Linked DNA regions of Mytilus edulis. Each later gene encodes a partner of the first gene's protein in a complex. Links are inferred from orthologs where the notes say so. Each region holds a gene or a part of one and is shown in the gene's direction. Other genes may lie near its edges. The genes, in order: vacuolar fusion protein MON1 homolog A-like and vacuolar fusion protein CCZ1 homolog.

Region 1 (11,142 bases):
AATTCATGGCAACAAATTATAGACCAATTTCTGTACTTCCAGTTTTATCAAAACTTTTAGAAAAGCATGTTTCAAAACATTTGTTTGCCTATCTTAAAAGATTAGATCTTTTACACCCAGCACAGTCTGGGTTTCGACAAGAACACTCTTGCCAAACTGCCCTTATCAATATCATAGATAAATGGATACAGGATATGAATGATGGTAATATCAACTTAGCAGTCCTGTTGGATTTTAAGAAAGCTTTTGATGTAGTAGATCATGATATCCTCTGTAAAAAACTTGAAATTTATGGATTTGATAATACTGCTGTTTCTTTTTTTTCAATCGTATTTGAATGAAAGAACTCAACAAGTACAAATTGGTAATGCTCATTCTGAAAAACTTCATATCAAGTATGGTGTTCCCCAAGGCTCCATATTAGGCCCCCTTCTGTTTATATTATACATCAACGACCTTCCTATTTATATGAAAAATTGTTGCACTGATTTATATGCCGACGATTCAACCTTACATCTTTCTGGTAATTGTTATCAAACTCTTCAGTCAAAGGTACAAGAAGATTTACATGGTGTAGAGGCATGGTGCAATGATAACAATATGTTCATCAATAAAAATAAAACAAAATATATGATTATTGGAACGAAGCAAAGAGCAATGCCACATTACAATGAGAGTTGTTTAACTATTAACAATCAAGTGATACAATCTTCCACATGCGAAAGTCTTTTAGGCATTAAAATTGACCCTTCCCTCACATGGACAACCCAAATTGACTTGATCTGCTCAAAAATATCATCTAGACTATATCTACTATTAAAGATTAAAAAATTTCTAAATCTAGACTGCAGAAAATTATTCTATAATGGTTATATCTTGCCACTTATTGATTATTGTTGTATAGTGTGGAGTAGTTGTAGCAGTGAGGGTTTAAAAAGGATATTAAAATTACAAAAGAGGGCTGCTAGATTAATACTAGAAACAGACCCATTCGCTCCTTCTGCACCCTTATTCAAACACTTAAACTGGATGACAGTTGAACAGAGAATAAAATATCATAAGTTAGTGATGACATTTAAGTGTATTAATAATGATGCCCCATCATATCTTACTAACAAGTTTCATTATGTTTCAGACAGAAATCCGTACCCCTTGAGAAATGCTGTTCAAGGAAACCTCATACTCCCTAAACCAAAAACAGAATTATTCAAAAAATCTTTTATGTATTCTGGACCATTCTTGTGGAATAATTTGCCAATACCGTTAAGAAATATTACAAATATTAATTCTTTCAAATACAAAATAACAGATCATTTATTGAAATCAACCTAGCTGTATAAATAATATAAAAAACTGATCATGTCATCATGTTTATTTTTTCATCACATTTTATCAAGTTGTATTGAACATTATTATCACACTTGACTTTTTATGCTAATGTATGTATGCAATGTACTAGTATATGTTTGTGTTTTGTTTGATTTTTCATTACGAGGGCCTCAGGGAAGATTAGTTATATAGCTAACTGTGTAACCCTCTTAAAATAAAGTATTGTTGTTGTTGTTGTTGTTGTTTATCTGAAAAAAATGATAGATAGATAGAACCTTAAATAAGCAAATATGGCCAACAAGACACACGATCTACAAATAAGCAAATGTGGTCAACAAGGCACACGATCTACAAATAAGCAAATATGGTCAATAAGACACACGATCTACAAATAAGCACATATGGTCAACAAGACTCACGATCTACAAATAGGCCAAAAATCCGAAATCATCAGTCTACTCCTTGTAGGAGAATTTACTCCTTAATGACGATTTTTACCAACATTACACGTTTTTGCCTATCATCTTAAAAACCATAAAATAGAGATAGATTCTTTCTATGGTGCCAAGGGGTAGTGATCAAATCAGCAGGTGGTGTTACAAAGTTTTGGTTTTCTATGTTGTTAAAGTACTTCTGTTTGTCTGTTTGTCTGTTTGTCTGTGTGTCTGTGTGTCTGTGTGTCTGTGTGTCTATTTGTCTGTTTGTCTATTAGCCATGTCGTTGGCAGTTTATTTTCGACTCGGACTTTGAATGTCCCTTTGGTATCCTCTATTTGTGTGCCTTTATGGAGGGATCATATCAGCTGGAAATTACGTTATAAGTAAAGAAGGGCCGAAACAGGGAGTTTCTACTGTGGTATAGCAGATGTTGTAATATGAAAGGGTCGATAGAGACACTTTTAATGATGCCTAGGTTGAAAGAATGGGATATTTGTCGAATATTAGTATAATATATAGGTATATAAAAATGTGGCATGAATGCCAATGAGAAAACTCTCCATCCAAGTAATAATTTATAAAAGTAATCCATTATATGTCAAGGCACGGCCTTCAACACGGAGCCTTGGCTCACACCGAACAGCAAGCTATAAAGGGCCCCAAAAATTACTAGTGTAAAACCATTCAAACGGTTTATTGATTGATTGCTGGTTGCTTAACGTCCAGTGGCAAATATTTCATGCATGGTCAGGGCTAGAACAGGTTAACAATAAAAACAATAGGTAGGTCTTGTACTGAATAGAAGCCGTCCGAGATGATGGTCTGGGAAATGAGGGTATAGTGGACAGAAATTTTGCCTTGCAACAGGCCACCTACGGACCCCTCAAAGAGGTGTTGCAAGGGTTCTTAACGTGCAGAAAGCGTGGCACTCTCTTTACACGAGACATCGGATTTAACGTCCCCATTCTGACTCGACATGGCTGCAAACTTGATACATCCCGCACAGCCAAACGGACGCCCCACTTTGTCTAGCGTTTTACTGCCGGTCGGAGGAAGATCAAGTGATCATACTTCTATTCCCCAGTCACCCTTTCCATTCCGAAAACGGGAAACCAACGGTCTAATCTATATAAAAACGAGAAACGATAAACACGTATGAACTACATAAACTGACGACAACCACTGTACAATGATTACATGTAAATGATAAAATACGTTTTAGTTGGTTTACCAAAAAAAAACCACAAAAAAGGAAATAAATACGGGTAATATAAAGGTTTTTCTGTATCAAAATATATGCAATGAAAGTAAGTATTAATTGTATCTATTTGTACAAATTATAAATTATATTTACACCATGATGACATCGGAAGTAAAGGATATATGTATACCTGAAATTTATCACGATTATCTTGACCCTCTAAAATGTGGGTCCACAAATTACTGAAATCTATCGTTTTTCATTAATCATAAAATCATTGTGTAAATTATATATAAGTTGAATGATAAACTTTCTTTTAGTGGTCTCCAAACAATAATCTCTTAAAAATATATATATAACAGACGGCTATTATTTTTTTTTGAAGAAATGTAAGTTAATTTCCTGCTATGACTGCGAATTGTTTCATTTCGGATTTTTGTAACAGTTATACTGTGCATAATTAATACATCATTGTTTTCCCAATTGGTTTATGTATTACCATTAAGAACCCAAAACAAAACATTAAACAGCGTATCAATAATATTATAAACAATTTAAATTATTCGTTCCTGTGATCTTTCATGATTAATTTCTAGCATTTACTTACTAGTCTGAATTCAATTAAAAAAGTAACATAACATTAACCTATACCGTTTTTATTAAACTTATGAAGGCAGACTTAAGTATAATAAGGCCGAGGCTTTCAACAAAAGCTATGATATATTTTACGAAACACCACAAAACTATCCTAAAGATATGAAATATCTATAACTTAATTTTCAAGCATGCAATTGTAGTTTTTAGTTACAAATAAAATATGTATAAATGATAAGCTATACAACTCCAATGTGTTCAAGATTAAAAGTTCAAGTAGAAATAAGTAAAATCACAAATATTGTGAAACAAGTTTTATTGTTTCCAATAATTGTTAGCTCGTCAATGTAAGAAACAACCATTAAAAGACAGAAAAATTTCATGATCCTGGAATAACAGTATATGATATTAAAGATATGAAACTTTGAAAAAACTCGAGAAAAAACTTAACTGATTTATAAAAAAAATATATAATTGTAAGTAACATGTTTTATGTTGTGATCATATTTTGTATGATTATATCAGGAACATAAATATACTGTTCCCAGATTATATGTATCATATATATTCTATGATAGACATGGTAATCTCATCCACTATTTGTGATGATTTTAATTCTATTTTTATCAATATGTTTATGTGTTATGAATGTAAGATTTTAATTCTATTTTTATCAATATGTTTATGTGTAGTTATGAATGTGATATATTGTGTATTGTTGTCATTATGTCCCGTCAGGGAGCCTTGATTGGAAAATAAAAGAACTTAGAACTTTGATCAAATTAGTATGAAGTAGCAGTCTTTTTTTTTTTTTGGGGGGGGGGGGGGGGGGGAACTTGACTAGCAATGATTGTACAGTAAGACTTACTTTACACAAGCCCTTTTTGGGGGACTATAAGAATTATTTTACAATATGCTCCTACGTCAAAGCCGAACTTTTTAGAATTTCAAACATAAGCTATCTGTTGTCACTGCGACATTATGTCACTTATGATCTAACTTAATTTCTTATAATGTGTTACATAATGTCATTTGCATACCAATAGACAATCTCAATCTAACCCACACTCTAAGCAAACCTTTACTGCAGTCTTCAAAGCATGGACTAGTATACTAGTAAAGTATGTCCCAGATATAACTAATGTTTTTGCTATGACGTTACGCACGATATTCGTACCTCATTGGAAATTCAGTCGGTGTAGTTGGCAAGATGCAAGTCCAAAATATATAATTGTGTGATATCATATTCATTGCTATTGTACGTATTTTAAAAAATAACGATTTTTAAAATAAAAACGAAACAAATAATTGTTGAAACTATGTTTTATGTTGCATGCGACAAGCTTCATTTAAAAAAAACGGCGATTTTTAGGTTGTCCCGCGTAACATATTTCATTTATTGTAACCACTATTAGTCTAAACTATGATTTTGCGGTCAAAACTATTTAATATTTTGAAAAACGTTTTTTTTTTCCATAATTAAACAGAATGGTTCCTTCAGTCTTTTATGCATTTTTTTATGACGTTATGATGACGTCATAGAAAAAACCGCGTTCCATACTACAAGGGCAAATCTGTCCCGCGGGGAAAAAATTGGAATTCCAGATTTGAGAATCAAAAAACATTTATCTAAAATGAAAAAAGTTTAGTATTTGTATTTACTACATCAATGTTAATTTGCTTAATTTTATGAATTTAAAGACAAATATCCTGAAAAATGATATATGGTAATTTATGAGCTATTTTTCAAAGGCTTACAAGTTTGTCGCATCGCCATTTTCTGACGTAAAAACGAACTCAACTCAAATTTACGTCAATTGTTTGCTTATCACTGCTCTTATAATGGTAGAATTTTATGATTTTTTTAAATGTTATTTTTCTTAAATTTTCAAGAAACTAAAATACATCAATTTTCGATGGGTAGTTAAAAAGCACCGTCGATGATTTTGCGGATTCTTACAAGAATGTCGCACTTGCTTAAAAACAACGTTTCAGTCAAATTTTCGGTTTGAACGTTACGACATATTCGGGACGTTGTGTTACGGTAACGCTTACATGTACGAACATCGCGCGTAACGTCTATACAATCATGAAAGCTAAAGCCAGACAAGCTTTTTGGACAGCTAACACTTGTTCCCCTTATATTTAGAATAATGATATGCCATTCTTTGAAAAAGTTTATTGAGACTCTCGAATATCAAGAATGTATTTATATGACAAATCAGAAGTTTTGCAAACACTGTAAACTATGTTACAGATTTAAAGCATACAACATCAAAAATATTTTATAAACCGGAAGTCATTTTCGGTGATCTCAAATAATGAACCCTGGCTATGGACGAGTCAGAGGGCAAAGAGGCGGAACAGGTGCCCCCTTCAGTGCGAAATCCAGACTCCGCTTCTGCTTCTGATCAAGACGATTTTGTAGAACCTGCATCAGAAGAAATAAAGAACGCAGTTCTTGTGGCAGCAGATACCTTTGTGGATATAAATTACGACGATCTGGTCAACGAAGATTATGACAGCCATCCAAGTGGTGTCATTCACGCCATTGTTCGTTCTGGATCTCAGGACGAACACAGTTCCTCAGAACACAATGACACATCCACTGGTGAAGAATCAAGTGAAGATCACAATGAGGTCATTATCATCTCATGTCACGAAATATTAATATTTGTGTACAGCCACAATTTTTAAGTCCATTAGGTCCAAAACAATGTTCCTGTTTATAAATGATCAGATATACATGTAATATCTGTTGGTTCCAAGACCATGAGTTCCAAAACGATTTTAAGATTTTAATGCCAAACTTACAACTGTTCTTGATGTATACTATAATACCACATTTAAAACAAAAACATACATTTTGTATCAATACACATAATACAGGGCATAGTCCGAGATTATTCTGATGTTCTTGGACTATACAGTGCAGTGCCATAGCGGAGGGGGGCATTTTAAAGTTCTACCCTTGTCCAACTGAACGTCCATAATTACATCTGTCTGTACGTTCCAAAGTTTGTTTCCGTTCTCTTACTTTAGATTGCCTCAAACAAATGTTATGAAACTAATTACCACAAAATACAGATAAAGTTTTTATTTTGGGGGTGGCACTTTTATTTTTCTAGAGTTATGCCCCTTTACAAATGAAAAAATTGTTTTTTTATTCTGTCTCTAACTTAAGTTTGCCACAACTAATTTGGCAAATGCTATGAAACATTTACACAAAGCTTATTGAAGTATAAATCAAGGCAGTATTCGGGTGGTACTTCAACCGTTCTAGAGTTATACTCTTTTACAAATTGATAGCGTCACTTTAACCGTTTTTTTTTTAGTGGTTCATCTTTGTCCCATGGACACATTCCCATTTTGATATTGTTTTTTTTTTTTTGGTTTATCATTTTCACAGTGGTGTAACTTATAATTAAACTATATATGCAAATCAATGAAATTCTTTTGAAAATTGGCAATGGGTAGAAAGTCTATGTATTTTTACAGATAAGTGTAATGCCTAAAAATTGCAGAAATTATTGAGTGCATTTATTATTGCAAAAAATTATGAAGAATGGACTAAAATGCAAGATTATTTGTTGCAGTTTCAGGAAAATCTGCATACAGTTGTACTTTTAGATATCAGAATGTGAGGTTTATTATTGTGATACTCATTCAATCACATTATTCCCATTTATGAAAACCTCACAATGATTTCTGTCATCTAAATTTACAATAATCATGATGATAGTGGAAAAAAGTAATTGTCAAAATAAAAATGAAGTGGTCTTATCCAATACCTTTGTGTGCAAACATTTGTCAAAGACAGATGAATGTATACATACCTGTACAAAATGTACCAATACAGTTAAATAAGCTAATCCTTCTTATTTTTCATGTTTTTTACTAGATTCCAAAAGATTTATCTGCAGCTTTGAATGATGTGGTTTTGAAAGAGTCTGACCCTATAGAAGAAATTGAAGAAGATGAGTATGGAAAAGGGTCCAAGTGGCAACTGGAAAAGAAGCATATTTTTATACTAAGTAGTTCTGGAAAGCCTATTTACTCACGGTAATAGATATTTTATAGATAGGATATAAATCAGAAAATTTATTGTTATATGCATGTTTTTTTCTGTTCAAATGATTTAGCAATAGATAAAAGTTATCTGTATCAACATGGAGGGATCATCACATTAGGGGAAGAGAAAGAGTTTAACACTAAATTGGTTTCAAAATAATCCAAAGTTATTTTCATTTCCTTGCTTTTTTGTCATGGAGAAATTAAAAAAAAAATTTTATAGCAATAAAATTTGATTTTCACACTTTAATACTCGCCATGGCAAAAATGACAAGTCCCAATGATTTTCTAACCTGATAACATGTATTATTACAAAGTATATAAAATTTTCTGTTGTATTCAGACATTTTAAAAACTTGCTGTCAATTAATATCTGTTCATTCTATTCTATGGCTTTCCAGGGTCCCGAACTTCCCATGTAAAAAGTTCAAAATAAAGACTTTAAAAATCTTTATTTTCTGCAAGTGAAATGTTTGTACAGCATTTGAAAAGAAATATCTGAAAATTGTCTTGTTAAGAATTTTTACAACCATCTAGCATATTATATTTCTGTGTAATTTTGTGTATTTTCGTATTATCAATGATTATGTATTTAATTAGTGCTATAAGATTAATATCTTCACATTAAAATTCATATTGAAAGTTTTATTTATACAGGCATGGTCAGGAAGATAAACTGGTGACAATTATGGGAGTTCTTCAAGCTTTGATATCATTTGTGTCTGCAGCTAAAGACTCAATGCGTAGTATTGTTGCTGGAGATCATAAGTTTGTGTTCTTAGTTCGAGAACATATTTACCTTGTTGCGGTATCAAAAGGATTGGAATCAGTCCAACAACTTGTACTACAACTATCATATATTTATAATCAAATTCTTAGTGTACTTACATTTACTTCATTACAAAAAATCTTCAAACAGAGGAGAAATTATGATTTGCGGAGAATGTTGAGTGGATCCGAAAAATTTATTGACAATCTATTGAATTTAATGGACCATGACCCTAGTTTTAAACTTCAAGCAGTACGATGTCTGCCTTTAGATAGCCCCGTTAGAGATAGCATTGCTCAAAGTATAATTCAACATGCAAGAGTTAAGGTAAGAATTGATGTACAACAGTTCGACTACCATTGTACATGTAGCTCGAGTTATACAAAATTTTAGCTCCAGTTACAAAATGTAAACAAAATTTGTATGTTTACATTGGACATTCAAAATATTTATGTACTAGTACTACATGTACATGTACATTATATTTTTTGTTAAACATTAAATATTAGTCCACAATGGCCAAAGAAAGGGTTATTTTGATAACTAATATTTATAATAAAGCATTATAAGAAAACAAATGATAAAGGGATGTAAGAATACATCATAGTGAAAATACATGACATACTTTAGTACAAAGGCACTTTAATTTATTTAGGGATAAAGGGGGAGGGGCGCAAGAATGAACGGAAAATAAGACTATTTCATGTATGTCTTGAGGGCTATTTTCTCAAATAAATGCACTACAGAATGCATATGATAAGTTTTTTAATCAAAGCAACATAAGATTAAGTCTCCTTGTATATTATATGTGTATTGTATTTTTAATTGATCTCTAAATCCTACTAAAGATTCAGGCCAGTATTTCATATTATCTATACCCAGTAAAACATGCAGGGTTTCCTAACAGGCTGGGCAATACTAATAAAACACAAGTTTTGTCAATTCCATTTAGTTTGACTGACAAAACAAGAAAAAACATTTTTGAACTAATGATAGTTAAGAGGAAGAAATGTCTTATTTTTTAATTCATTAAAAAGAATATTACAAATGTATAAAGTGAAAATGAAAAAAAAGATAGTTTGGTACATGTATTTGCCAATGAGACACAGCAACCGAATGACGCAGTTAGACAAATCCACAAGAATCCCTATTCCAAATAGAATTGTTTATGAAAGATAAAAATAAACATTCACAGTACACTGGAGAAGACAAATTAAATTGGCATATTTTAATCTACTTTAATTGAGGATATATATATGGCTTTGATTGCATTTTTAGATTATACATGGTATAAATTTTGTTTATTTATTTATTTTTGGATGATTTCAGGACTTAGTTTTTGCGATTATTTTAGCAAACAATCAGTTAGTGACACTGGTACGAATGAAAAAATATTTCTTGCATCCAATGGATCTCCATTTAATCATTAACCTTGTGAATGCCTCCGAGTCTTTCAAAGCTGCTGAGTCTTGGACACCAATATGTCTGCCAAAATTTGATGCAAGGTGAGTAAAACAGAAATCTCTTGTAAAGAGTTTTCTTCTACAAGCCATCTAAAATGTGGATTCCTTTGGTTTTATCTTATAAAGTTTTTGAACTAAATATAAAAAAGAAGACTTGGTATGATGGCAAATGAGACAGTCTTTTACAAGAGACAAAATGACAGAGAAATTAACAATTCTAGGTCACTGTTTGACCTTCAACAATGAGCAAAGCCCCATGGTCAGTTATAAAAGGGTCCAAAATGACAAATGTAAATAAAAACAATCCTTATGAGAAAACTAACTGCCTAATTAATGTAAATATAAAAAAGAAGATGTGGTATGATTGCAAATGTGACAACAAATAGCCTTTTTTTCATATTACCGACATTTAACTCTAAATTATATAATTTTTTTTTCAAGTTCCCAACTCTGTTGTAAAACATCCTGATACTAAGTCAAGCAAGAGCAATCAAAACAAACATAATCTAATAACAACTGATTCAATTTTAGGGGGGAAATAACTGTTTTCTGATGATTTTGTTGTGTATATAAAACATCAAACAGTTAATTCTCCACACATAAGCATGGTTTTACTTATTTATGTCCCCCTTACATGCCCAAGTACCAGGATGTCTTACCTCTAAGTAGGGAACACGGTTTCCGAACACCTCTTACATGACCGAGTACCAGGATGTCTTACCACTTAGAGGGGAATATGTTGGAAAATTATAGAATTCAGAATCAAATATCGGTAAAATGAAAATAGTTAAATCAGACAAGAATTAGAGCTATGTACAAGCGTGATGATAGAGGTACATTTCTTATATTGAAATAATTTCCAAAACATTGGAACAGAAAATTTAAATTAAACATTTTCAGTATTTTATAAGCTTTACAATTACTGGTAGTTATTATGTCAATAAAACTGTTTTTGGTATATTCCAGTAGTTTTCTTCAAGCACACATATTATATTTAGATGTAAGATATTATCACTATTATCATCAGCTTCACATGTAGTTATTTTCCCAAGGGTGACTGGGGTATAGAAATATGGTCACTTGGTCTTCTCCCGACCGGCAGTAAAACGCTTGCTGAAGTGGGGCGCCCGTTTGGCTGTGCGGGATGTATCAAGTTCGCAGTCACGTCCGGTCAGAAGGGGGACGTTAAATCCGATGCCTCGTGTTAAGAGAGTACCACACTCTTTGCATGTTAAGAAACCTTGCAACAACGCTTTGAGGGGTCCGTAGGTGGCCTGT
Region 2 (10,610 bases), on another chromosome or scaffold:
GGCGTCCTTCAGCTGGCCCCTAAACAAATATATACTCGTTCAGTGATAATGAACGCCATACTAATTTCCAAATTGTACACAAGAAACTAAAATTAAAAAAAATACAAGACTAACAAAGGCCAGAGGCTCCTGACTTGGGACAGGCGCAAAAATGCGGTGGGGTTAAACATGTTTATGAGATCTCAACCCTCCCCCTATACCTCTAGCCAATGTAGAAAAGTAAATGCATAACAATACGCACATTTAAAATTCAATTCAAGAGAAGTCCGAGTCTGATGTCAGAAGATGTAACCAAAGAAAATAAACAAAATGACAATAATACATAAATAACAACAGACTACTAGCAGTTAACTGACATGCCAGCTCCAGACTTCAATTAAACTGATTGAAAGGTTATGATTTCATCTTATGAATATCAGGCACAATCCTTCCTGTTAGGGGTTTAGTATCATACCATCATAACATATATGAGAAGAACATAACCCGTGTCATGCCAACAACTGGTTTTTTAATAAATGTGTTTAGTTCCGATGCAAAGACCCTATATGTGAATCAATATTAACGCCAAAATAAGCAATCTTTAGTGACCTGACAACAGTATCGTAACTATATCCCTTCTTGATAAGTCTATTTAAAGGTTTTGTTAGTTTCTGAGGTGAATACTGACATTTTTGTGCTTTATAAAGAATAGTTCCATAAAAAATTGGATGTGAAATACCTGAACTTATAAGAAGTCTGCATGTTGAGCTATATTTACGAATGATGTCCTTATACCGATGATAAAATTTAGTAAATGTTTTGACTAGTTTGTGATATCGAAAACCCTGGTGTAATAATTTTTCAGTAATACATAAATTTCTCTCGTTAAAATCTAAAACATTGTTACATACACGAGCGAATCGTACAAGTTGAGATATATAAACACCGTAAGATGGTGACAATGGAACGTCACCATCTAAAAATGGATAATTAACGATAGGAAATGAAAAATCATCTCTTTTATCATAAATTTTAGTATTCAGCTTTCCGTTAGTGATATAGATATCAAGATCGAGAAAAGGGCAGTGGTCATTGTTAGTATTAGCTTTATTTAAAGTAAGTTCAACAGGATAAATTTTTTTAGTATACATACTGAAGTCGTCATTATTGAGAGCCAAAATGTCATCCACATATCTAAAAGTATTATTAAATTTGTTTATGAGATGTTGTTTCGATGGGTCTTTGCTGATTTTTGTCATAAATTGTAACTCATAGCAATACAAAAACAGGTCCACAATAAGTGGTGCACAGTTAGTCCCCATTGGAATTCCAATAACCATACGATATATAGAATCTTCAAAGCGAACAAAAATGTTATCTAGTAAAAATTCAAGGGCATATATAGTATCAAAGCATGTCCAATTGACATAGTTTTTTTGTTTATTGCTACTAAAAAATGACCTAAAAGAGTTTGAACATATATATTCACATTCTGACTTTTTAAATGCCCATTTAATTAGGTGGGTGAATTTTTTCTTAATGAGAATGTGAGGCAATGTGGTATACAGGGTAGAAAAATCAAAACTTTGAACAGATTCAAAATCACCAATATAAGCATGCAATTTATCAAGTACTTCCAACGAGTTCTTGACACTCCAAAAGTAATTAATTCCACTATTTTCGAAGGCCTTATTTGAACAATTTATTATCAGGTTTTTGATTGTACCAAGTGTACTGGTAAGAAGAATAGACAATTTAGTAGTGGAACAATGGCTTGAAGACGAAATAAATCTATATTTGTAAGGTGTTTTGTGTAGCTTCGGAAGCCAATACATAGTAGGGACTTTCATTGTATTCAGTTCTGCTTGTAAAGGGGTAGCTAAAAGTTTATGTTTGTTACAGATGTCGATTTCTGAAAATGGAGTCAGTTGGAATGTTGGTGAATTGGTAATTTCTTTTTTCAGAACCTCAATGTAAAATTTACGTCAAACAATAACAATATTATTAGCAGCTTTATCGGCCGGGAAAAAAACAAATTCCTTGGCTAGTTCTTTTAGTTTATGTTTGATACGAGAATTAGGTTTATTGTGGTTATTGTTAATAATAAAATGTTCTTTAAAATGTTGAATATGTATATCAACTATGTTCATTACTGAATTAAAGAAAGAGTCCAAAGATTTTTTGTCAGCTTTTTCCCGTTTTATCCATTTCAAACAGTAAGTACGGAGTGAGTCGTGGATGATATTACGAAATTCATTCCAATTAATAACTGACGGGGGACGATATTTAGGTCCTTTACTGAGGAATGATTTTAACTCTCAGTCTTGAACGATATTAAGATCTCCTGTTATAACATGGGAAATGGGTCCATAAATGTATGTGGAATTACTACAATTACATGAAGTAGGTGTATTTTCACTGATATTAGCGGCTAGTTTAAGAAAGTTATTAAAATTTTAAAAACTTTAATGACAGAGTGAATGTAATGTTTCCTGGCAGAAAAACTAAGTCCATTTAAAGTAAAATACGGAAAAACAGGATTTTTTTTTACAAAATTTACTTCTGGATACTATCTTAAGATCATAAACAAGCTTCTGTCCAAGTTTGGTAGAAATCCAGGCCAGTTTAAGGAGGTTATTAAAACTTAAAAAACTTTAACCACAGAGTGAAAGTAATGTTTCCTTGCAGAAAAATTAAGTCCATTTATAAGTAAAATACGGAAAAACAGGAATCTTTAACCACAGAGTGAATATTTGTGAACGCCGCCACCGCCGACACCAACAGAATGTAGGAAAGCTATATCTCACTTTTTCGACATAAGTCGAAGGCTCAACAAAAATATATACAACCTGGTAGTAAAAGATAAAGTTAGAGTTTGTAGTTTTATATGAAAATTTGCAATGACATCTATAAAGAAAACAATGAAAGTATATAAGTTCCATTAGTAACAAGATAATATTTTACAACAGGGATATAGTTGTCATAAATTGGTTAAAAATTTACCTCATTTTATCACAGATACAAATGCATAGTAATTCATTGAGGAAGAATTAATCCACTTACAGGTATTCAACAAAACACACATGTACATGTAACATTTCAAACCCATCATTTTCCTTTTCTGTTATTTATGCAGCTTAACAATTAGGAGTTGTCTATTAATTATTTAATTTGGCTTAAATAAAAGACTGATACTAAGAGTATCATTTATCATTGCACCCGAAATTTCTAAGGAATGAACATCAATTTGCTACATGTAGTTAAAGTTTGACAGACCAAAAACAGTTCTAACTTTAACTTCATCATTGAAATTCTGTTCAAATATTTTGTGGCATTGTGTCTTCCTGTTTCTGCTTATGATGCTGATATCAATTTGTCATATATATATACATGTAAATACCTTTATCTTTGACTTTCTTCTCTATCTCAGCAAAAGCCTGGTCAACAGAATTATCATCTGTTATATCAAGTTTTATTATCTGTATACTACTGTACTCTGATCTAAGTTGACTGGCTCCTTTACCATCTGGATTATAACACCCAGCAAACACAGACAATCCTTCTCCTGATAAACGACGAGCCACAGCATTCCCAAAACCTTTTAAGATAAAGTTACCAAAAAAACAAGATAAAAACTCTTTTCTCAATGCTTTCAAAATAACAACCAAATCCTGAAAGTTTGGAATAACTTCATGACACCACTTTTGAGTTCGCCTTAATTTACTAACATGAAGAGGAGAAATACATACAGTAATTTATAGTATCCTTTGAATTTGGTTTAAATGTTATTTTTTATCAGTAACAATTTTAATGTTCATAAGGCACAATATTAAGCAATTGATCATAATTACTTTTACTTTACTTTAGTCTGTACTGTTCCGTCTATATTAGACGACCAACTTTTCAGTGTGAATATCATTAAAATTGTCATTTAATTCAATGCACTAGTTGTATGTTATACCATATTACCATAAGAATTATTATAATTCTAAAATACAAGTATGGTCCAAATCTACCTGATATTACTTAAGTTTGAAAAGTCAATAACCAGAGACTATCAACCCATCTTCTTTTGCTCTGCATTGAATGGATCCCATATATCCTTTGTCATGTTTGTTTTCCTATTACATTATTACCTGTATCACAACCAGTTATAAAGACATATTTTTCCTCTGTGTTTATTCGTCTGAAGGTAAGTTTCTGATACACTACATTTAGTATAATGAGAAAAGCCACAAACAGTATTGTTTTGGCTATGAATGGTTGGACTATAATGAATGGTAGCACTGCCAATACTCCCAGATAAGTCAGTTCAAAAGCCTGGAATCCTATGAACTTCTTGATTCCCATTCCTAAGTAACTTCTTATGCTGTCCATTCTGATAGCTTGTAGCTTATACTGCTCTCTGTAATTAATCAATACACATGTTTAACAACTGCAGAATGAGTTTTCTTAGAATTGATCTGTTTAATCTTACTGAAGCACACAATGTATTTAATTTTTGAATAATTAGCATTGACTAGCGAAAGCTAAAAAAATTCCAACTGCACTGCACAGCACAGAGTAATTTTGTAGGTGTACCAACAGTCATGTTTGTCCATTTGTTATACATTTTAATGAACACTGTAAAGGTTCATCAAAAGAAATTGAAAATGGCTGCGTTAACATCACAAAATCTACTATGAATACAGACAAACTGATGCATCTAGGAACGTTTTAAGGCATGGCAGGACCTAGATATATAAAAGTTATAAGTAGTCTATGTTTCAGAAAATTAAAAACTTTTACCTGGATTTTGATGTGCCTTTTTTTACAGTCTGCAGAAGATAGCAAAATAAACAAACACACAAGTTTCATTCGATACAGTCAACTCAGTTACACAGTTTAAATCACCTCTTGTTTGCAATGTCTATTGTCCATCTATTGTCCATTTAGATCAATACTACATACAACTTTGATTATATGAGAGGAGATTCTCAAACTTTTCCCAAACTTAGTTTATTTTTGCACCTTTTTCAGGAATGAAAAAACTGAATAGCAAAATCCATAAAAGGTTATAATTTTCTGAAACATAAAATGCATAACCTGACGGTACCCAAATTGCACCTATTTTGACAGTTTTTTCTCCTACGTTTTTTTATGATCAAGACAAAAATGTCCACTCTGTGTTTATTTTGTAGCTGTATCCTTCTTTATTATAAAAGTACACCAATTTGATTTTTAATCCATATTGAGTCATAGGTTTGAATCGACCTCCAAACTATTCATGATTTCGTAATGAGGAGTACCCAAATTGCATCCATGCTTAAATTTACATCATTAAAAATCGAATAACAAATGTTTTGTTTTATTTTTTCAATTATTTAGAACAATTGGATATTAGTCCATATTTAGTCTTATTTTTTTAAGAAATGGATACTTGTAACATATTGTTTTTGTTAATTTAAAAAAGATGACGTTTTAATGATGTCGCATGGCGACGTTTCCGTACATTTTGCTTTTTCAGTAAACACTTCATCTGTTGATAAATACTGTGAACGTTTTGTGTATATCTAAATATCTTTACATATGTTGAAAGACGTGCATAGTATCAAATCATAAAAATGCAAATTGTTTAGTCTCTAGGAAATCTTGTAAGATATCCACTGATATTTTTTCTAAATAGGTGCAATTTGGGTATCCTGCCATGCCTTAAAACTTCTCCGGGTGGAAAGGTTTGTCTGTACTTAGAGTTAAATTTAGGGTGTAAATACTGACATATATTTTAGCAAAAAGGTTATGATGAACTGAGCTAACAAAGAAATGTTAAAATATTTGCATTCCAATACAAAGAATTATGACGTCTTATAGTATAATGATGTTCATAACTCTATGAAACTTGAATATTTCATATTTCATTCTATGAAAATTGTGTTTTTGATAGTTATGTAAATACTTTACATTTTTACAAAATAATCACCCTATGATGGCCTATCGTCCTCAATATCGAACCATACAAAGTGCCAAGTGAAAGTAGCCGGAAATAGACTAGAAAAGGACTTCCTGTTAAATCGAAAGTAGAGTTGTGAAGTAGGAGTAAACTTTGAAGTCTGCTAGGCTAGAAAATGACTTTCATCAGAGGCATTAATGATTTTGACAATTGTATTTTCTGGATCACAAACCTGCATTAATTAATGCATGAATATTTTAACGAGAAACAAGAAATTTCCACTTCATGTTGTTGCAACAGTGATAAGTTGTCAAACATTTTTACTAAGCATAGTCAAAGGCCAACTAGTAGAAAATCAAGCGACCAAGAAATAAAACATAACAGCACACCAAATCATAACAAAAGCATGGCTGTTAAAGGAGGAATAAGCCTGATTAATTTCTTTGTATTCAATTCAGAATATGGACCAAGAGAGGGTGATGTAAGTTTATACAAAGTACAAGGTATTGTGCCTTGGTTATTTAAGAATATACACTCTTTTGATAATTCATATTCTTAGCTGAGACTCCATATAAAAAACAAAAATGAAATGTGCAGAATATATGTACCAATATTGAGAATAAGACCTGGGCATATAAAATAGAAGATGTGGTATGATTGTCAATGAGACAACTGCAGTCCACAGGAGACCAAATGACACAGACATTAACAACTCACCCTTCACCCTAATTCAAGTCACCCTAGTATCTGTTCACCCTTATTCTATTTCATTTTGATGTCTTGGTATACATAATTTATATAATTTGAATACACTATGTTAATGTAAGTTGCATAAAAAACTATAAACTTAAAAATTTCGCATTTACATGTAGAGTGTGTCCTACTTATTTGACTTTCTCAGTTTATCAACACTAAAAGTTAAAATTTTCCATGTTTTATTTTAAAACCATGGCAATGATTTCTTAGATAAAAAAAAATGATATGTCAAGAATTGCCACTCAAACATTGTCAAACAGAACTTTTTGATAATGCTAAAATGTTTATTTCAGGAAGAGAAAAAGATCATGTATTACTATCCAAAGAATGACCATATAGATACTAAGATAAAACAAATTGGACTGTGTGAAGCTATCTGCAAGTTTACTGAGTAAGTACATTTTGAATTGTTATTTTTTTTTAAATATCTGAAGCAATTACACATGTAGGCTTGCATTTTTGCATGTCTCTTCTGCTTAAAAAAATTATGATTAGGTTAAATATTGAAGAATGATGATCAGACATACATGTTTGATTACCATACAACTTTTGACCCTTATCCAATACCTTGAACAAACTTTTTCTAGAATTTCCAATAGGTTGAAGAAGTTTTCTATTGATTTTGATTTTGGTATCACTAGGTCAAAGGGTAAGTGATAGAATGAAATTTGGACAAATTCTGGTTTCCTACCATATGTCCAAACTTCATTAATTTATTTAAAAATGACCTTTTCAAAGAATAAGACCTCTAGATTACAAGGTTCAGATCAAGGTCATGGTCACAACACCTACAAATAGACTGCCAATTTTGGCAAAGGTTTGATAACTGGGCAATACATTTCAATCCATGAATCAGATGTTTACTATTTTTCATTGGATTTTGGGGTGAAAAAGATCCATGTTGATTTTAGGGTCACTTGACCAAGATAAAGATCACAGCAGTGATTAAAAGACTGAAATTTAGGTGCATTTTAAGTGTTTGCCATTGATATAGTCCTCTAAACCCTACATCTAATCTTGACCAAAGTTAGTCTTGTAATTTCCACTAAGAAGGAAACAAATCTGGGAAAAGGTTTGTTTCCTAACAAAATCTTTTGACCTATAAATCAGATCCTTACCAAAGCATGTATCAAAATATGATGCAATCAAAATATGATTTAATATGGCAAACTGAGCTTAATAATGATTTCAGAGGCAATAAACTATATGGTAACAAGCTCAGAACTTATAGACTTTTTAAAAGCAGATTTTGCTTAGAAAATTACCTTTTGCAGGAAAATTTTAGATATAGACATTATTTAACAAAATTCCATATCAGTGCTCACGATTTAGAGATTGAGAGAGGAAGGTACAAAAATATGACAGTGTCAGAACGTATCTGTAAATTGTGCGGTACTGAGGTTGAGGATGAAATTCATTTTCTTCTTCAGTGCCACAAACTTTCAAATATTCGTTTCAACTTTTTAAATGAAATAAAACAACGGTTTAAAAATTTTAGTGGTTTAGATATTAAATCACAATTTATTTGGCTAATGTCCTCTGAAGATACTTTCATACTCCAGAAACTCGGAGAATTATTGGAAAATTTATCCTCATATAGGAAAGTTTCCTTAAATGATATATAGATATAGAAATGCCCAGTGACCCTCCTTATATTATTAAACACTGTGCTTGTTGTATTCTTGTACTTGTCTTAATAAATATTTTTTGGTTTGGTTGTTTTTTTGGGTTTTTTTATAACATTGTGTCTTAATCATATAGAATCACTTGTAATCATTCGTATGTAATTAATGTTGATTGTTCTGCTCCTTGTGGGCGCTTTGATTAGCAATAAAATATATTTGAAATTTGTATTTTTTGCTTCCTCAACAAAGAAGACAGCATTTGAATTTGAGGTCAACATGTTAATACATATACTATAAGGACTTCAAAATTGTGTTAACAAATTAAATAAATTTACAGTTGATTATAAAATGACAGTTAACACAAAAAAGACCAAGGTTCTTGTATTTAACAAATCAGGAAGACTTAAAAATATTAAAATTTCATCAGGAAACCAGACTTTAGAATGTGTACAGAACTACACATACTTAGGTATAAATTTTTCATCATCTGGGAGTTTCCAAATAGCAAAGAAAGAACTTTATAACAAAGGAATGAAAGCATATTTCAAATTAAGGAAGACCTTTTCAGTGGAAATCCCAAAACCTAGTACTTCATTACACATCTATTACCATATAATCCGACCAATCTTGTTGTATGGATCTGAAATTTGGGGTTATATACCACATAAGAAACAAATACATTTGGATAACTTTATATCAAAAGAAACTGATTATCTTGTACTAGAGAAAATTCATACTAAGCTTTGTAAATTTTCACTTGGAGTTAATATAAAAACATCAAATATGGCAGGTTCACTCCCTACACTGTATTATGTAATAATGAATATGGTAAAATATTGGATCCATCTTATGAAAGATATTGAACCTTCAAATAGTATTCTAAGGGAAGCCATAAATCTATCTCATTCTATGGACAAACATAACCAGGAATCTTGGATAGGAAAATATTTAAATTTCTAGACTTAGAATATCTATTTGTTAACCAGTCAAACTTTAAACAAAACCATATAAAAAGTAAAAACATCTTTAACTATTAAATTTAAAGAAAGCTGGTTAGCTAGTTTAGAAAGCAATTTTGGGAAGTGTACTAATTTATAATCTGGCAATAAATTAAGAACTTACAGAAAATTTGAAAATATTTTTATGTTTGAACCATATTTAAAAATGAATTCAAAAAAAGACAGGCAAATAATCACAAGATTTAGAACTAGCTGTCATGATCTTGAAATCGAAAGAGGGAGGTATACTGGAATTAAAGCTGAAGACAGAAAGTGTAAGCTATGTTAGAATGCAGTTGAAGACGAACTACATTTTCTTTTAAAATGTCCTGTTCTAAAAGATACTCGATCTCAACATCTATCTAATTTAAATTCTAAATTCAAAAAATTTTCAAGATTATCTGATGAAATGAAATTTGTCTGGATTCTTTCATCTGAAGATTTGTTTGTTACTTCAAACTTATCTGATTTATTGCACTCCCTTTTTGAAGAACGAAAGAAAATTATAGATAATATTGTTGTTTGAAAAAAAATTAGAAGAAAAATATATATAGATATATATATATTGGAAATAAAATTGATCAGGAGTTGTCTCCCATAGATCTAGAACTATAAAAAAATTATGTAATTTCTCCAGGTCACAGTGGCACCCATAACAACTATGTTTTGGCAATAACTTGGTTTATATCAGGTTAATTAGTGTAAATGTGTATTCATGTGTTCTTTTGTTTAAATGTACTTTAATCATTCTAATCATTTTCTGTGCTTTATTTTGTAATTCATTTGATTGTATAGCTCAAATTTTGGGCACCATGATTGGTTAATAAAATTATCTATCTATCTATCTATATTTAACTTTGTTAAAAAGAAAAATCTTAAATGAATGGGAAAATTCTAGGGTAGTGGCTGTCCTACAAAAAATTGTCAAAAGACACAGTCTATACAATTGAATTAATAGTTGGAAAAGGCTGATTTGTCATAGGAGAGTGTAACATTTCATACACAATAATTGAAATAAATGTACATGCAAACAAAAATCTATCTAATATATCTTATATTGAATAAAATGTATTATTTATATATTTGTAGAACATTTTCTGATAAACCATGTCAAAGTTTACATACACAAAAGACAAGACAGACATATTTAGAACCAGAGAAAGATTTCTGGATAATCATGGTAAAATAAAGAAATGTACTATATTTAAGAAATATCAATGAATATTTTTTTCTGCATATAACTCATTTCTTTCTTTATTCTGTTTAGAAAAATGATAAATTAATTCTTGTGATTTTTTGCAAAATCAACCTAGTACTGTAGTT

Evidence for each region.
Region 2: the proteins of vacuolar fusion protein MON1 homolog A-like (region 1) and vacuolar fusion protein CCZ1 homolog are in contact, whole or in part, in a cryo-EM structure (PDB 8JBE), measured with the Drosophila melanogaster proteins. The link is inferred for Mytilus edulis from reciprocal best matches to the Drosophila melanogaster genes Mon1 and Ccz1. Residues at the interface, in NP_608868.1 of Drosophila melanogaster: Trp112, Gln113, Phe120, Leu142, Val145, Ile146, Leu149, Phe152, Val153, Gln157, Asp158, Ala159, Ile160, Thr161, Ser162, Ile163, His164, Ala165, Gly166, Ile168, Phe170, Phe172, Arg185, Arg459, Ser464, Arg465, Pro466, Leu467, Lys468, Leu469; in NP_647835.1 of Drosophila melanogaster: Lys48, Gly51, Leu52, Ile56, Phe59, Thr60, Thr62, Phe63, Thr64, Asp68, Cys69, Gln70, Ala71, Leu72, His73, Thr74, Gln75, Lys76, Thr77, Ala114, Glu115, Ala412, Asp413, Asn416, Pro427, Ala428, Glu429, Glu430, Val431, Gln432.

Annotation. Positions count from the first base shown.
Region 1 is NC_092344.1:78,427,524-78,438,665, reverse strand, and holds the start of vacuolar fusion protein MON1 homolog A-like, read left to right. Parts: upstream 1-5,856; 5' UTR 5,857-5,895; coding exon 5,896-6,201; intron 6,202-7,462; coding exon 7,463-7,623; intron 7,624-8,289; coding exon 8,290-8,728; intron 8,729-9,730; coding exon 9,731-9,906; intron 9,907-11,142. UniProt on the Drosophila melanogaster protein: Part of the Mon1-Ccz1 guanyl-nucleotide exchange factor complex specific for Rab7 that promotes the exchange of GDP to GTP, converting Rab7 from an inactive GDP-bound form into an active GTP-bound form.
Region 2 is NC_092352.1:32,879,134-32,889,743, reverse strand, and holds the start of vacuolar fusion protein CCZ1 homolog, read left to right. Parts: upstream 1-6,003; 5' UTR 6,004-6,152; coding exon 6,153-6,389; intron 6,390-6,957; coding exon 6,958-7,055; intron 7,056-10,376; coding exon 10,377-10,467; intron 10,468-10,610. Other genes in the region: short-chain dehydrogenase/reductase family 9C member 7-like, read right to left, coding at 3,380-3,577, 4,116-4,356. UniProt on the Drosophila melanogaster protein: Part of the Mon1-Ccz1 guanyl-nucleotide exchange factor complex specific for Rab7 that promotes the exchange of GDP to GTP, converting Rab7 from an inactive GDP-bound form into an active GTP-bound form.